Drosophila melanogaster: one gene and its partners. The protein of the gene in region 2 interacts with the protein of the main gene of each other region in a pairwise test. Each region holds a gene or a part of one and is shown on either strand. Other genes may lie near its edges.

What was found.
Region 1: the proteins of Ets65A (region 2) and CG10959 interact in a two-hybrid assay, tested with the Drosophila melanogaster proteins (one large-scale study listed by BioGRID).
Region 3: the proteins of Ets65A (region 2) and d4 interact in a two-hybrid assay, tested with the Drosophila melanogaster proteins (one large-scale study listed by BioGRID).

The regions. Positions count from the first base shown.
Region 1 is NC_004354.4:8,146,430-8,152,095, forward strand, and holds CG10959 (uncharacterized protein), read left to right. Parts: upstream 1-2,353; 5' UTR 2,354-2,468; coding exon 2,469-3,047; intron 3,048-3,115; coding exon 3,116-3,868; 3' UTR 3,869-4,257; downstream 4,258-5,666. Other genes in the region: CG2129 (uncharacterized protein), read left to right, coding at 1-917; CG15336 (uncharacterized protein), read left to right, coding at 1,586-2,065; Gbeta5 (G protein beta subunit 5), read right to left, coding at 4,638-5,666.
Region 2 is NT_037436.4:6,095,436-6,101,648, forward strand, and holds the start of Ets65A (Ets at 65A), read left to right. Parts: upstream 1-2,181; 5' UTR 2,182-3,036; intron 3,037-5,033; 5' UTR 5,034-5,094; coding exon 5,095-5,327; intron 5,328-5,499; coding exon 5,500-5,876; intron 5,877-6,213. Other genes in the region: loj (logjam), read left to right, coding at 1-52, 214-477, 549-716, 771-827.
Region 3 is NT_033778.4:5,291,579-5,297,374, reverse strand, and holds d4 (d4), read right to left. Parts: upstream 3,313-5,796; 5' UTR 3,111-3,312; coding exon 2,663-3,110; intron 2,579-2,662; coding exon 2,312-2,578; intron 2,260-2,311; coding exon 1,481-2,259; 3' UTR 1,410-1,480; downstream 1-1,409.

The DNA of each region.
Region 1 (5,666 bases), on a different chromosome or scaffold from region 2:
AGGAGTGCGGCATGGAGCTGGATCTGGACAGCGAAGGCAGGCACTCTGCCAAGATTCCGCACTCGTGTCCGCACTGCACAAAAGTTTACCAGAGCCGCAAGGTCCTCGAACGCCACATAATGCGCCAGCACAAAGACACTCTCTCGCCGGATGTGGACAGCGAGGACGCGGACTACGAGCCGCCCAAGGATGCGCCCGTCAAGTCCGCTGCCCAGGAGTACAAGTGCGAGCACTGCGGCAAGATCTACCATGGCAAATACAGTCTGCGTCAGCATTTAAAGCGGGATCATGACAACGGCGAGGAAGGAGGCTCCGCCATCTTCACCTGCCTGGAATGCGAGGCCCAATTGCCGCGCCTGCGCCTGCTGGACGAGCACATGGTGCAGGCGCATGGCGGCGCTGCCTGTGTGGTTTGCGGGCGGCGCTACAAGACGCGACACGAACTGAAACGCCACCAGCTCAAGCACACCAGCGAACGGAACGTGCCCTGCCCGCATCCCGGCTGCGGCAAGCGCTTCTTCACCATCCGTCATATGCGCAATCACGGCAAGGTGCACACGGAGCAAAAGAACTTCGTCTGCGAGAGCTGCGGCTACAGCTGCCGGAACAAGGAGACGCTGCGCGTCCACATCAGGAGCCACACGGGCGAACGGCCGTTCGGGTGTCAAGTGTGCGACAAAAGATTCCCCTCCCATTCCGGCCTGCGAGAGCACATGGCCATGCATTCCACGGAGCGACCGCATGTGTGCAGCGTTTGCGGTGCGACCTTCTCCCGACAGAAAGGCCTCTACCACCACAAGTTCCTGCACGCGGACACCAAGCAGTTCGTGTGCAAGCTGTGCGGGAATGCCTATGCCCAGGCCGCCGGTCTCGCTGGACATATGCGCAAGCACCGGAACGACGAGCTCAACGGATAGGATCCGGATCACCGAGGTCGTAGTCTAAGTTGTACGTTTTGTATCTTCCAATTCCGACGTTTAAGTTCAGGAACTCAGGCATAGGCTATATATAGGATTACCATAGAAATCAATGGTTTTTTGCATTGCTCCGGCATGGAGCGGGTATCATGTGACTCTTCGGTCCTCGTTTCACGGGTTTCCATCGAATTTATTTGACACGCACTGTAAATAATATCCCTAGTTTTAGATAAACTGAAAGTTTGTTAATCTGTTTCGAGTGAACTTAGTTTGAGGCAAATTTAATTGGCTCGATTGTAAGTACTAAGACTAAACTACATTTCCATGAATTTTCTAAACTACCAACTCAAATAATAACTAAACTTTGTTAAGGTTTAAACTATACATTAAGCACACAATGCTTCCAAGAACCAAATCGAACGCCGTAATCTCGGCAACCGGATGTGGCTAGTATTCGAATGGTTAACTTTTTTGTATTGATAAATATACATAACATGAATTTGATTCGCAAAAGAGAGCCCGCGTTTAAAATTAGCCAAGCGATTTGGTACCTTTGACAGCAATTAATCGGTCGACTGCTGCTAAAGCGGCCAAATGCCAAGATGGTATTGGATGGGGTGCGTCTAACAATAGTGCCGACGATTAGATTTGGCACACGCGGACCGACCATGTCGGCGGAACGTCCAGCTGCCAGCTCCGATAATCGGCGACTTATGTGCGAGTTCTGCGGCTATCGGACGCGCATCTATTGGAATCTGCAGATCCATCGTCGGCGACACACCGGCGAAATGCCCTTCAGTTGCCAGCAATGCCAGGCGCGTTTCCCGGCCAGCTATCAGCTGAAAAGCCACTTGGAGCGGCACTTGGACGCCGGCGAGCGACGCCAGCGGCACATTTGCACCGACTGCAACGTGGGTTTCTCCAGTTCGCGGGCCCTGTACCATCACCGGACGCTCCACGAGGATGGGAAGCGCTTCAAGTGCTCCCAGTGCGACAAGTCGTTCGCTCAGGCGGCGGGCTACGCCCAACACAAGCGGATTCACCGCCAGAGGAACCAGCGAGCCACCGAAACCACGGATCTGAAGGATCTGCAGATCAAAAGAGTGGTTTCAAGTGTTTTTCATCGGCGCGAGTTTAACACTGCATAAAATTCAGTGGAGTAATTAACATTTTATTTTTGTGTCATATTCAAATTTAAAAAAACCGGGTAACCGATTCGTTATTTCAACTGAAGTGCCTTATAAATAAAACAGGCAGTATCACTTTCTAAGAGTCTGGTAACAAATTGGTAACACTTGAGAGGAGCATATTGCTTAGCTATTTAATATACATAGATCAAATATAATTAATTTTGAACTTAAAATTTATTTTGTAGTTTATTCGGTCAAACGGTTAGTTTGGTTTGAAACATAGCTGAATGGCTGTGAAATCAGTGCTGGTTTGAGTCTGCACTAAATGTCTATCGAAGTCGATCGAAATTTTGTTTACATATTTTATTTTAATTTTGGTAAATAATATTGCAACAATTTTAATGTAAATAAGAATCAGAAAATGTTGAGACACTGCCTCGCCAACGTCGACTACGTCCGCCTGCACGCCCAGCAGCAGTTGCGTCCCAAATGCGGCGAGATCTTCTACGAACCGGAGGCGAATAGATTCCAACTGGTCTGCCTGCTCTGCGACATGAAGCACTTTGGATTCGAGGACTTCGCCCGCCATATCCGTAATGTGCACTTCGACAAGCAGGGCCGACCGCTCACCAAGACGGTCACGGGACTGGGCAGACTAGCACGAGAGGAACAGGAGTTCCAAGGGGTCAGCGCAGAACCATTGGCTGTGGACAGCTTCAAGAAAGAGTACCTGCCCAACGAGGATGTTCTGTCGGAGGAGGAGGACGCGGAACAGGAGCTGGGACTGGAACAGGACGAGGGCAATCCACTACGCATCATGGTGCTCGGGGGTAAACAGTCCGTGGACGAGGAGACCATCGATACGATGTGGCAGCCGGATCATGACAGTTCCTCCGCATCCGTCAACGAGGGGTGCGCTCTGGAGGCTCTGTTGGGCGTGGAAAATCCGCAAGACTATCAACCGGATGAGGACGGGGAGGAGCACCAGTCTGTTTTTAAGGTAGAAAAACTGTAGTACGTGCACTTGAAGAAGGAAATCCAATATCTGAATATGTTTTTTCCCTGCAGAAGCAGCGCCAACCAAAGGACTACAACTGCCCACACTGCGACAGGAGGTACACGACGCAGAAATACCTAAACACCCACCTAAAGATGAGCCATCCGTTTCCGCAGGCCTTCAAGTGCGTCGACTGCAAAGCCACCTTCGATGTGGACCGAGCATTGGCCCAGCATCGTCGCAAGGAGCACACGGAGTTCGCCTGCCAGCTATGCGACAAGGTGTTCAAAAGCTCGCGATCCCTTCTTCGCCATGTGCAGGGTCACTCCGGCGCCAGGACATTCAAGTGTGAGCACGAGAACTGCGGCAAGTCGTTTGTCAACCAGCACAACCTCACCTCGCATCGGCGGGTCCACAGCGAGGAGCGGAACTACGTGTGCGAGCTGTGCGGCTATAGATCCCGCTACCGGGAGGCGTTGATCGTCCACCGGCGCACGCATACGGGCGAGAAACCCTTCCAGTGCCAGACCTGTGCCCGCCGCTTTGCCTCCAAGTCGCTGCTCAACGAGCACCAGGCCATGCATTCCACCGAGAAGCCCTACAAGTGCGACAAATGTGATTCGGCCTTCTCCCGCCCGAAGGCGCTCTATCACCACAAGCATCTGCATTTGGGCATCAAGAAGTTCAAGTGCAAGATCTGCGGTAATGCCTATGCCCAGGCGGCAGGTCTATCCGCTCATATGCGAGCGCACAAGCTCCAGGCGTCCGTAAATGCGACGGAGGGTGCCGAGGCGGAACCCATCGAGATGCTTTTCACCTACTGACCGAACTGAGTGGAAACCTCCTGTCGCCTTAAGCTCTATTTCCATATAACTCAAGATATTCAAGATACACCACAAACAATGTTCACTGTTCTAGATTTTATAGATAGCTTATCAATGTTTATGGACACCCGACTCTTTCGTTCCAACTTTTCACATATATATATATATCTGTAAATAGTATTAGACATTTTCCAATCTAAGGCCGCAAATGTTCTTTTTTAATTTAAGTGATGAAGCCTTCCATTTCTGTGTCTCAAAAATTAGTACCTACATATCAGTAGAAGTCGTGTGTAAGCTGTTATATCTGTTAGTTTAGCTAGTTTTAAGCCAAGACCTTGCTTCCGACTAGGACAAACCACGTATGTACAATAAATGTTCTGATACACGTTACTCCAACATGGACTTTCAAATGGGCGCACAAAGAAGCCAGTTTGTCTATAGCTCAACATTTATTTCGAACAGGAACTTATAACTAGTCGCATATTGGTTACACTTGGATGCATATACATGTATATATTTAGATTCAATTTGGTACAGCAGCTGGTAGTAAGCATAACACTGCGGTAACCAAGACATCCATGCTGGCAATCCCGACATGAGACATATGTACACACTTGGGGGATCACCGAATCCGTAACTTAACTATCCTAGAGATGCGATGCACAACACAAAAAAAAAAAAAAAAAACAAATCAGAAGAGAGGGAAAACAAAGCGAGACGGCATCTGTCCTGGACAAATGCATCCCCCAACAATAAGGTGCCACATGGCTTAGGCCCACACCCGTATGGTGTAGTCCCAACTGCCGGTGGATAGAGCGGTGCCATCGGGCGAGACCTGGACGCAGGACACCTTGTTCTCGTGCCCGTACAGCAGGCAGACCCTTTCCGATTTCAGCGTGTCCCACAAGTTGACGGTGTAATCGTTGTAGCCAGCAAACAGTAATCTTCCACTGACCGAAAAGTCCACCGAATTGACGCCAAAGATGATGCTCTCCTTGGCGAACACGGCCACCTCGCGATCCGCTCGCATATCGTACAGCCGGCAGCTGCTGTCATCCGATCCAGTGGCTATGGCATCTCCGCAAGGATGGAACTTAACGCTATTCACATCCGATTGATGACCCTCGAAGGACTGAACGACATGACCAGAGCGCATGTCCCAGATGAAGGCCATGCGATCGCAACTGCCCGAGACAAAGGTGTTGCCCGTTTCGTTGGGAGCCAAATCGATGGCCATTACATCGCCGGAATGTCCGTGGAAGCTTTGCAGTAGCTGGCCCGATTCCACGTCCCACAAAGCGCATGTGGAATCGCCACTGCCCGTGAGGATTTGCTGATCGGAATTCGGATAGATGCAGCACGACATGTAGCTGGTGTGGGTGCCCACTGTGCGCTTCTTGGCGGCCATCTCCTCATCGGAGGTTATCGGATACACGGTGACCTTATTGTCTAGTCCGCCGCAGGCCACAAAATTGCCCGACGGCGCGTAGGCACAGGCCATAATCCAGGTGGTGGGCATGGTGACGGCGTGCTCCTTGTTCGTGGTGAACGCATCCCAGATGATCAGACGTCCGTCCTGCGACGAGGAGATGATGTGACGCTTGTCGGGACTCCAGTCGGTGCACAGGACCTTCGCCTGGTGGCCCTTGAGCACCTTACGCGGCTTGATGTTCACATAGGCGATCTGCTCCAGCCGCTCTGCGATGTTCGACAGATTGACGTCGTTCAGCTTCTGGCGCTCCTCCTCCAGTTTGGTCTTCAAATTCTCCGCCTCTCGCACCAAACTGGCCATCTTTTC
Region 2 (6,213 bases):
CTGCTACCATCAGTACGTTAAGGCAGGAGCCACCTTCTACGTGTCCTTTAGTGTAAGTTGATAGAATTTGGGATCAATAGCATGTTTCCGATCCAATGGATGGGTTTCCCCTTGAGCAGTCTGTGATATTCTAAAATAAATCAAATCGAATCCATTAATACAGTAATATAATCTATCTAATACAATGAAATTATTCATATAAATTTTTTTTAGGTGGTGCGCGGAGGCGATGGAATGGCTGGTTTCGCCGTCCGCAATCCTGCTGGTGAAGTGGTGAAGCCCTACCAGTGGCAGGCTACTGCGGACTACACGGATCAGGTATCGCCCGGTGGCTACTACTCCGTCTGCATTGACAACCAGTTCTCCCGATTCGCTGGCAAGCTGGTCAACATCTATATCACGGTGGTGAAGTACGATGCATGGGACAAGTACGCCAAGGAGATCGAGCAGCTGCAGCTGAACATGCAAAACTTCACTGTAAGCCAAACTGGTTTTCAGACACACCCAAACATCCATTTACAAATATTCACATTGATCTATTTCTTTAGGCCACCGTTGGCACTGTGGAGCGCAACATCAACGATATGATGGGCTATCAAGCCCACAGTCGTCATCGCGAATCGCGTGATTATGCGTTGCTCCTGGACAACAATGCCTATATTCAAACCTTCTCGATTAGCCAAATTGTGGTCATATTGATCACGTGCTCTGTACAGGCGAGTATAGACATGTTTTTTGCTTTTCCTAAATTAATAACCTAATATTTGCAGGTATTCTTTGTGCGCAAACTATTTGAAGTAAAATCGAGCTCCAAAAGTCGCATCTAAGGCGCAAAGATACTTTTCAAAGACTTCGCAACATGTTTCTAAAATTCCATCCGCATTTCCAAGACATTCATTCTATTCTACCTGCTGAATGAGTTTTTGTAACTTATTTTATCACTGGCTAATTGATCAAGCGCAACTGAGCAGACTTTTTTATAATTGGGACTACTTATGTCATACGAGTTATAGACAGCAAAACTTATTGTGATAAGTGTACATTTGTGTGTTTTGTTTAATTAAAAGATTGAAGATTTTTGTATTTGCTTTGTTTTATTTGGGAAAGAACCTTAAGGATTTATTCGAAGCCATTTGGGTTTGTTAATTTACTAAAAGCTCTACAAGCTTTAAAGTTAAGCTGCTTTGGTAAGCTCACTTAACCGTTAAATTTCATTATCCTGGAAAGGATTTTAAACTTAAAAATATATAATTCAGGTTGTTGTTTTAAGAAACCTGTTTTTCTTTTTATATGGGAGTAAGTTATTTTCAAATTACGACATTGTTGCAAAGACATCTTCTCGTTGCCTAAAACCAATCTTAAATATTAAATACATGCTGTACATGAGCTCATTAGTTTAAATTGAGAGCTGAAGACATTTCGAAGACATTCCACAACTTGGGCTGGCAAATTAATCACCCCGAATGCCGCTTATCGCAAATTATCCTGCCCCATCCATCGCAGGACCTTAAATCATGTCACCAGGCTCACCGCTTATCTAGACGTCATTTAGCACATGTGTGTGTGCTCTGCAGCAGCTGGCATGTTAATTATATCCTTTTTGGCAGGCAGCAGGAGCATCTGGGTATCTTGGCGGGTCTTTTGTGGCCACTGCTGCTCGAAATTAAAATGTTATTATGCGAGGCTTATCTGCGGGCCTTAAAGCCACCGCAAAACTAAGGTCCTAATGGCCTCGCACACCAGCACACGCTCTTTAACTGTTTTAAACGCCATTGTTAAAATATTGCTCATACGCACTTCCGCCCAAAATGGGGTCTTCTCTCTTCGGCAGCACTAATGATGCCCCAAGAACGCGGAGCAAAGGACCCGGCGAAAGGCAGGAGCATCCACAGCCATAGCCACATCCACATCCACATCCCCGATGGCACAGAGTTGGCTCCGCCCACCAGCAGCCGATGACAGCGGCAGATAACAGAGCAGCGGCAAAGTGGGCGGTGGATGGGGTTGTGGTGCGGAGAGCGCGCCTGCGCATTAGCCGCCGCAGAAACGCAGGACGATGGGGTGACACATCCTCGGTGATAGCGCCCAGTTCCCCTGCCACACAGAGCCACCGCTTGTGGGAGGAGTGTGTCGCCATCTTTGAGCGTGGACTGGTGACTGGACGGGATGATCTGGCCGCCACATTAACTTGGAGTGCGCGCTACCAAGTGCAACACGTCGCGGACGACATAATAGCGGTACTTTGCGGTTTAGATTCGTCGGTCACACGTCGTCAATATTCCCGGGACAAGGACCAAACTAGCGAACCTTTCTTGGTCAGCACAAGCGGCAAACGAAGGCACAAAAACCACAAAAAACACAAAGCACACACACGGCACACACTTGTACACTTACACACGGCAAGCAGTGCGGAAAACTTGGACACATACGCCCAGCTTGTTGCTGGCTGTGGGCGTGGCAGCGCACGAAAAAGAAACAGACAAGGACACACACATGTGTCCTGCCAGTGTGTCGCGGAAATTTTTGTGCGGAAATTATAGAAATTTCGCTTTTTGATTTCATTTTCGTTCCGCTTTCGTTGCGAACCTCTCACCCCTCGCCACCCACCACCACCCACCTTTTGTGCACCTGCACCTGTGCGAAAAGACATCGAGAAATGCCCAAGGAGCCCGCTGCCGTCGGTGTCCAGTTGGCTTGGTGGTCGTCGCCGTCATCGTCCTTGCAGTGACAAATTTCCTTGCATATCCGCTCCAGGACTACGAAACTTTGGCTGCAAACAAAACCGTCATTTGCGTGGCGCGTCGCTGTCGCGTTCACTTGTCGCATATCCGTCGCCATTTTGACAATAATTTCATTTCCGGTTGGCAATTTGTACGCACTTGAGTGAGTGATTAACTGCACCGATTCCCAACGATTGTGAAGTGTTTAAGATTACTAAGTTGTAACTTAAGTTGTCCCGACGGAAGTTTAAGAGACAGTCAAAGAGGAGACTTATTTTTGGATAAACTTTATTGCACATACAGGCACAATCCTGAGGTGAGTTATGTTCGAATTATAGAATGATCAACATGATTCAGAACTCCGACGGGGTCCTAAATAACTAATGTATTTTTAAGTGCTTTGTTGAACCAAAGTTGAAGTAAATTAAAGATAATATCGTAACGGTAGAATTTTATTCAAAAATTGAAAACATACTCCTAGGCTTAAATGGGGAAAATCTCCAGCATAAAATGGGGAAAATATTAAATGCATAAAAATATTTGAAATGTACGAATTCAGAATACCAGACATGTTGAAGTCTATTTTAAATCTAAAAATTTATAACCAATGTCAGTAAAGAATAATTACAATAATAAACTTTAATATTTTGATAGAATTTATTTCGAATTTCTAAGATATTTGTAAACTATGATACTTTCTATTCAAACATTCTGATCTGATAAATTAAATCCACTTACATAGAATTTTGAGCGCTTAGATACAGCACCTGTGAACTTAGATGGTTGCTTTTAATTTCTAACTAACGACAGTTATCCAACCCCTAAAAAGCTCACCCCACCATCATCAGATAATTGTGAAGCATATGTTTCTGCTAATCGAATTAGTAGACTTAAAACGGAAGTATTCATAAACCAGAAAAAAAGCACATCAGCAGCATCATTGGGTAAAAGCTTGACAATTAAACAGCAGCACAGTTTCATCAACCAGTCGGCTGTGCAAACATTCAAAAATCCTAATTTCCTAAAATCGCATAAAAATCTTACAAACCATTAAAGAGCAGCCAAACGTGTGGCCTCTTAATTAAAGGATCTCTCGTCCAACAAGGGGATTACACCATTAACAGCTGTCGAAGAGCATAAACTCGGCAATCACAGCGATACCAAGTGGTATTCAAAGGACTCAGCACGCGCTGCAGAACGGGACGAGCATTCAGCCCATCTGCAGACCGACATCCTGGCATCCCGCTCGTATTTCCGGTGTGCGCGCGTTCGCTCAGCGATTGTGATAACTTGGGGAATACAAGGATACCAGAATACAAAAAAAATAAAATGTCTGCCTGCTAATGTTCGCTGGTGAAATTTGCCTACATGCAAACGCAGCCACTCGGCCTGAGTACAAATAATAAATAATAAATGAGGCGTGTGCAGGCCGTTTATAATGTCTGACAAGGCGCAAAGTTGATGATGTTCTGTAGATGCGACCGTTTCGATAACGAAATCTATTTACTCCTCCCGGCAAACTTAAAGCTGCTGGGGTTTCAGTTACAGTTTTCATTTCGGGTATGTTTGGTGTACTTTAAGCCAGAGACAGGACAAGTCGCACTTTGTATGGCATAAATTTCGTTGGCATAAATCAAAATTCAGCAACTTCCGACGAGGGCAGAGTGCAAAAATTTGCATGCCCCCTGTGTGTGCTAACTGCAGACTGGCCGAAAAGGGCCAGTAAACAATGGTTCGCCTTCCCCAGCTTCGACCAGCTGGACATTAGAGAGCCACGCTCAAATGGCCGCCACCCACGCACAGTTCAACGCTCATACGCAACGTTGGCCCAGTGCAAAAAGCGGGACTGTACACACAATAAATAACGAGCCAGATAATTATGCACGTCGTGCTTATATCTAAGGGAACACTAGCTCCACAGCTCCAAAGTAGCCACTATTAATTATGCCAGAACATCGGGGGGGTTTTCGGGTAGCTAGCTTAACGTGTTGGGGCCATGGCAATTAGAGCGATTGTTTGGCCCGAGAGGCATTCTAAAATTGCAGTATTTAATTGTGGACCACGCGCTATGATTTATTAATATCTCGCTCTGCAATTTGCCATGAGGTGAGTGATGGAGTTTACTTGGACTTTAAAGCAATTAAATCTTCTGGTTTGACTACCAATAGAGTACAAGAGTGTATGAATAAATATCTTAAGTTTTAGTAACTTATAAGTACTAAGTATTCATTTATATTCATTTTCGTTTGTAATTTTCGCAGTTTTATAAGTACTATAAAACCAATTTGTTCTATCTATTACTTTCTCCGGCAGAGTCAAGTGGAATCCCTTGTTTAGCCAACAGCCACCCATCGAGGCTCCCCAGGCGTGCGCCATGTACGAGAACTCCTGTTCGTATCAGACGGCGCTGGACCTGAAGAGGGTATCGCCACCGACTCTCGCCCAGGTGAAAACGGAGGAGTGCCTTGCACTCGGACAGTGCTCGCCAGAATGGACCTCGTACCGCTTCCATCAGTCCACCTTCGAGCAGCTGAAGCAGAGTGTGGAGAAGGCCAAGGCGGCGCTGCAGGATCGCAGCAGTTTTTTCGGGGCCAGCAGTGCCTTTAGGTGAGTAACATCTTAAGATGTAACTATTTTGCACTAAATAAAATTTATAAACCATTTAACTTGGAAATCTTACTTTAAAAGAATTTTAATCTTGAATTCAGAATTATAGTTTGAGGTCTTATTAATTGGTATTATGGTATATATATCTTAAATGTATGTTTTCCAACCACAGCGACATCTACTCGAGCCAGCGCTTAACGGACTCCCTCGACACCCTGCCCGTTCAGTCCGGGAATGGAGGCGGCAATTGCCTTGGCCTTCCACACAATCCCAATGTCGGAGTGGGCGTGGCCGGAGTGCTCAACTACAATGCGGTCAGCAGCAGTACGGCCGGAGTTCTGAGCAGCAGTGGGAACGGCGTGCAGAGACATCGGTTGGACACACTGCAGCCGCCATCCGGGTGCTCTCCAGCCGTCACCCAGCACGGCGTCATCACGTCCAGCGCCGGACAGGTCACGTCCGGAACTCTGGATGCGGTGAGTGCGGCTCCAGCACTTCCATCGCTAACAGCGTCCAGCTCCTCGCATGTGGAGCACAAAGTCAGGGCAGGTAAGTGAATTTAATGTGGCAGAAGCAATAGATTATACATCGAAAGAAAGAACTATTAATATAATAATAAATTATATACAAATAGTAGACATTTTCGAAATGGGAGCAATCTGTCTTATTTTTAAAATCATTTAAATTATATTTATATTAAATAAAAGTAATCATTAAATTAGATGAGATGAGGGTTATACTTTGCTTTATCTACCTAACTTTTTTATAATTGTTTTTTGTCGTTTTTATTTTCAATTAACCTCATATTGAACACAAATTATTATATTTTCGTTCTTATATTGTTTCTTAACAAATATGGTCGTTATATAAATGATTTATGCAACAA
Region 3 (5,796 bases), on a different chromosome or scaffold from region 2:
AGTGTGAATGCAAAAGCGTAATTTCATAATTTTTCTAGGATATCGATAGATATTGGGGAATAAAATTAAATTTAAAAATTGTTAAAAATGTGGGCATGGTAGTATTGCGCGGTTTTAGGGCTGTAGAGTGGGCGTGGCAAAAAGTTTTTTGGCAAATCGATAGAATTTTACAAGACTAATAAAATTATGAAAAATTATCTAAAAATTTTTCAAAATGTGAAAAATGTGTGCCAACCATTTTTTTTTTTGCAAATCGATAGAAATTTACAAGACTTATAAGAATTTAAATAAATATCAACACGTTTTTCAAAAGTAAGGGTGTGGCAGTTTTGTGCGGTTTGGGGGCGTGGCAACATGGGTCAACTTGGGCTGCGTCTATGTCTCTAGAATCTGAATGTATATGTATCTCAACCTTATAGCTTTAATAGTTCCTGAGCTCTCGACGTTCATGCGGGCAGACGGACATGGCTAGATCGACTCGGCTATTGACCCTGATCAAGTATATATATATACCTTATATGGTCAGATATGTCAGGTATAAAAATATACTGACAGAATTTATAGACTGGTAGACCTTTATATATATATGCCTTTTGGGCATTATAAAGTAATAATAGTAATAAATAAATCAAGTGAGTTTCCCACTCCGATAAAACGTTTCACTGTCAAAAATATATATGATTAAGGCATTCGGCGAGCTCAATTAGGCCAGTGTTTAGCTAGCAAATTTCTAATCCTTTCTTTATGCTGAAACTATCCTTTTCTGAATATACTATTTGTAGCTACGAGCTACAGATTCTCTTATCTTTCACCAACTTATTTCTTTACACATTACACCTATTTTTCGGTTCCTTAAAAATAAAAAATCTATAAGCTCTAAATCAACGTTTTCGGGCGTTTTGATGGTTAAAGGAAGGGCGTGGCCAAAGTGTTTTTTGGAATACCTACAGAAATTAACAAGACAAACAATAAAATATGGGTCAACAAACTTGCGCTTTTATAGTTCATGATCGATTCGCTATGATCCTGATCAAGAACATATATATATACCTTATACATTCGGAAACGCGTTCTTCTGCCTGTTACATACTTTTCAACGAATCTAATCGTTATACGGTTATATTTCCTTTTAATTTGGCCACTTTGTAATTCAAAAAGCACACAGAAGAAACATTTATAAAATATAATAAAAAATAAAAATAGCGAGGATTAAATTAGCAGACTTTAATTTCGCCAAACTACACAATAATATATATATAATTTTTATCAATTGAACTCTCGATATATGTTGCTAGTCAAGTGTCTTTACCTGTGTAAAAATTAATTAGGTTACTTAAACCAAAACTGATAAAACCCATACAGGCGCATAAAAAGAAAAATAGAAGACCAAAAAATTCAACAAACCAAGTAAAATGTACGTTTTTTATATTTATGAGAAGATTAACTTATAATTGGTGAATTATTAATGTAGCTTATTAGCTTATTTAATCTTGTGGAACTCCTCCATGCATAGCTTGCAGCTCCAAGAACCCTCTGGTGGAGTCACAAGCGGTGGTGACAGGCAGTACATATGGTATCCCCGGTCACAATCGTCACAAAATAAAAGTTGATCGTCATTATCAGAGGTCCCACAGATGGAGCAGTACTTGCATTCAATGCATTGCCAACGATAACGTTTTACCGATATAATCATATTTGCCGTGAACTGCAGACACGATGGATGACCGGAACGACCACAGTCCGAGCACGATACTAGCTCTTCGGGCATATTGGTTTTTTTATTTTCTCGTTGATCTCCCAGACAAAAGTCACAATAAGGTGATGGTTGCGCTATGTCACGTTCTACACGTTGTTTGACCTTATTACCAGTAGCAAACACCGTTTGATTTGTTCCTGTTTGCACCGGATGCGCATTGCAAACATTTGAGGTTGTCAGGCCCGCGTTTATGGCAACCATTGTTGCTAGGGGAATTGAGTCATTGGAAGCTCCAGCATCGCTTGAAGTCTTATCGTACGACGACGATATGTTTGTTGGCAGTATGAGTCCTGACTGTGAATTGTCGTCATTTATGGGAATAGGCGAAGCTGAGTTGGAATGAGATGCATAGAGCCCAGTGCTAGCGACAGCAGCTGCAGTACATGCTGCATGTGCGACAGCGGCGGCAGCTGCCGCTGCGGCTGCGGATGTATTTGCACTATTTCCACCGGCTCTACGTTTTCGATCAGATTCTCCCTCAACGGCGTTCTTTCGACGATTGCCTAGGGTATCAATAACGTTTACAATTCATCAGCTTAATAAACTTGTACTCACCACCACCTTTACGTCCCCGTTTGGGAGTACCCTCTACGTTTGCATTTGTTCGTCTAGGACGCGAACACTTTTTGCGTTTGCCCCGGCTGGTGTAAGACTCATCAAAATCGTTATCTGAATCAAAGTCATCCTCAAATTCATCGCCATGATGAAAATGTGATGTGTCCATTTCATCGTGGAACCATTCTTTTTCGACGTTTGCATGTGAGTCCTTACTATCATTATCTCCTGATGCTCCCATGGAGTTGCCATCCGTAGCAGCAATGGCTGTAAATAAAAACCCATAATAAATATAAATGTCAGATGTATAAAATATTGACTTTCATCCGACGATAAGCTGCAATTTTTTACCTGCGCTTTCAGCTAAGTGAGGATTTTGTGGTACAGCAACGCCAGACGAAGGTATATGATGGTGATGCTGATGCGTTTGATGGTGGGAGTGCTGAAGGTTGTGCTCGCGATACTGATAGGCTCGGAAACTTTGATTCGGGTTAAGTAAGTACTGACGTTTTGGTTTGCGCCACCGAGACGATGGATAAGTGTATATCTGACCATGTCGAAGACCTGGCATTCGCTGTTTTTTTTTCATAAAGAGGGAGCAATGTGTCTGTGCGACACCTGTCTGGGGATCGAGGAATGGCATGCGAAGTCGACGTTCAATGCATAGACGAGTGTTGAAATTCTCGCTGTTTTCTAGAATCTCCTTGTACTTTTCCTTGTCATTTAAAAAGTTCTGAATTTTTTCAAAATTGGCAATGTTTACTACCAAAGTTTTTTCGTACGCAGATTTGGAAGCCATGTTGATGCCGAGTGGTAGCCGCAGGAATTATTTGGTTAAGCAATAGCTAAACTAAAGAGCTAAATTGTCAACATATTTTTTTGTCATTGATAAAATTTATGTTTCTTCACACACAATTCAAGCTGATACAAATAACAAAATATAGAATTGTTATGGGGCACTAGGCAAGAAGTACAAAATTAAATATTTAGAAAAGGTGTGAACGTATTTCTATTTTAAAATAGATACAAAATGTATATCAAAGTTCTCGACCATAGTTATAATAAGTTATTTCCACAAGTGCTCCCTAATGCGCAATTCACAACTTCTTGATACGTAACAATAAGTTAACATTAACAATAAGTTCTGTAGCAAAAGTTCTTGATCCAGTGCTAAGAAATAAACATTGCATTAAAAGAATTTATTTATTTTTTTTTGTTTTTATACCATTGATGCTATATTTTTTAATTCCGAATTTTTATCGCATTGAAGGAGAATTTTCGGAGTGTGAAAGTCTCTTAATGCTTAACGGCTGGTCATATCGTCTCGAATTAGTCATGTTCAAAATGTACTGAGTTTGACTTTTAAATAGTTATTCAAAATTTTTTTTAAGAATATATGTTATTTATCCAATTTAGCCATATTGATGAAAATGATAAACATAACCCTCTTCATGAAAACCACTTCTTTATTTCTATTCACACTGGTGAAATTTATTCAGTCGTTTTGAATTTGACAATTCTATTTGAATTTTTTGATGTAGATGTATAGCAAGTGTATTAAAACAAATACAAAAACATTTAAAACACGAAATCAACACCGCAGGGGTCGATAGTTAAATCGAAGTTTTAAAGTCTGTATACATTAGATATAAATTTATTAAAGATCAATCATTCGCCAGAAGTTAAACCATAGGCGTTGGATCTCATTAAATTGTACCGCAAACTTCCTTGACAAGGATACCATCTGCTCCATTTCTAAACCCGCTACTCGTAGACTAAAAGGGTACACTGGATTCGTTAAAAAATAGGTAACAACCCGAAGGAACGGTTTCTGATCACATAAAGTATATATATTCTTGATCCGATTAATAGCCGAGTTGAATTGGCCATGTCCGTCCGCATGAACGTCGAAAGCTCAGGAACTATTAAAGCTATAAGGTTGAGATTAAGCATGCAGATCCAGAAGCATTCACAAACTGCTTAAGACTGCCAGGCTAATATATTAAAAAAATGTTTTGATATTTGTATATTTTTCCGTTAGTTTTGTAAATTTCTATCGATATGCGAAAAAAAAGTAAACGTGTCCGATCTGATAAATTAAGAATTATAGATCAGGATTATTCTTGGACGCTCGTACCAGTAAGTGTATATTAAAAAGTTGCCAGGATCATTTATTGGGCAACAAAATGTAGCGATAATAATCGGAAAATCGTCTGTATCCGTGGAAAGTACTGATCGAGACCAGAATGGCGGGATTTTGGCTTGGATACTTTCAACGAGTGTATAAAAGGCGGAACGCTGGACGAAGGCAGGCACGAAAACAAACAAAATTCTATGTGCAGTACCGTGAAAATGAAAAAACGGTATTTTTAAGCACCTCAGAGTTCCACGCTAAAGAGTTAGCCAACCACAGGGGCCCGCCATGAAAAGCAGCCGAAAAAAATTTTGGCCTCAAACCTCACATATGTAAATTAACTTTTTGCGGTATAAATTATTTTAAAAAATAATTTTTTATTTTTTAGTATTTTTATTGGTGTTAAACTTTTCAACTTATCACTTTATTACAAGACACTTATTGTTATCTATTTATACACTAATAAACCGTTCTTTTAATCCTCCCGAATCAGACTGATCTTCAAATTCTGAATCCTAATCCAATCAACCTCGGCCAGAAGCTTTTCTTTGACACTTTCTGAACTTTTGATAAAAGCTTTATGCTGAAATTATTCCACTGCATTGTGAAATTCAATTATGCTGATCGATGCAGTTTTTGATTGAAGCGTAATAAGTTGGCCGTGGTTTGGTCTCCAAGCGGAAGCTGTGTTTACGTTAAGTTTGGGTTATTTACTTTAGCGAGTAGCTAAGCGCTGGCAAAGGCAATGACAAAAACAAAGACAAAGGAAATGCCGACGAGATTGAGAATTGAAATTTGTTTATAAACTGTGGAAGGGTGCTATGTTTATGGGTTGGATAACTTGTACATCGAATGTACCATACAGATCCACAATTCATCACCCTTGAAGAACATCACAAAATCGTCGCAGAGCCTAATTGTTTCGGCTGCACAGCCGACTCTCATGACGGTGATCTCTCTCCTAAAAATTCTAAGCGATTAAGATTGATGTTTTTAATCAAGGCGAGGAAATATCATCGCTCTTTCATGAATTGCCGACTTCTAAGCTAACGCTTTCAGAAGTGCGCATCGGAACATGCAAAAGCATTTCTCAGCTACTAGCTGACAGCTAGTGTAAATGGGAACGAGAACATTTTTTTCTGGGATATCAATAGATATTGGGAAATAAAATGAGAAAAAATTAAAAAAAAAATTTCTTAAAGTGTGGGCGTGACCGCTTCGCGGCAGTTTTGGACGGTTTTAGGGAGTAAGAGTGGGCATGGCAAAAATTCTATAGAAATTTACAAGACTAATAAAATGATGAAACAATTTTGAAAAATGGTTCTAAGGTGTGTGAGTGTCAGTTTTCTGT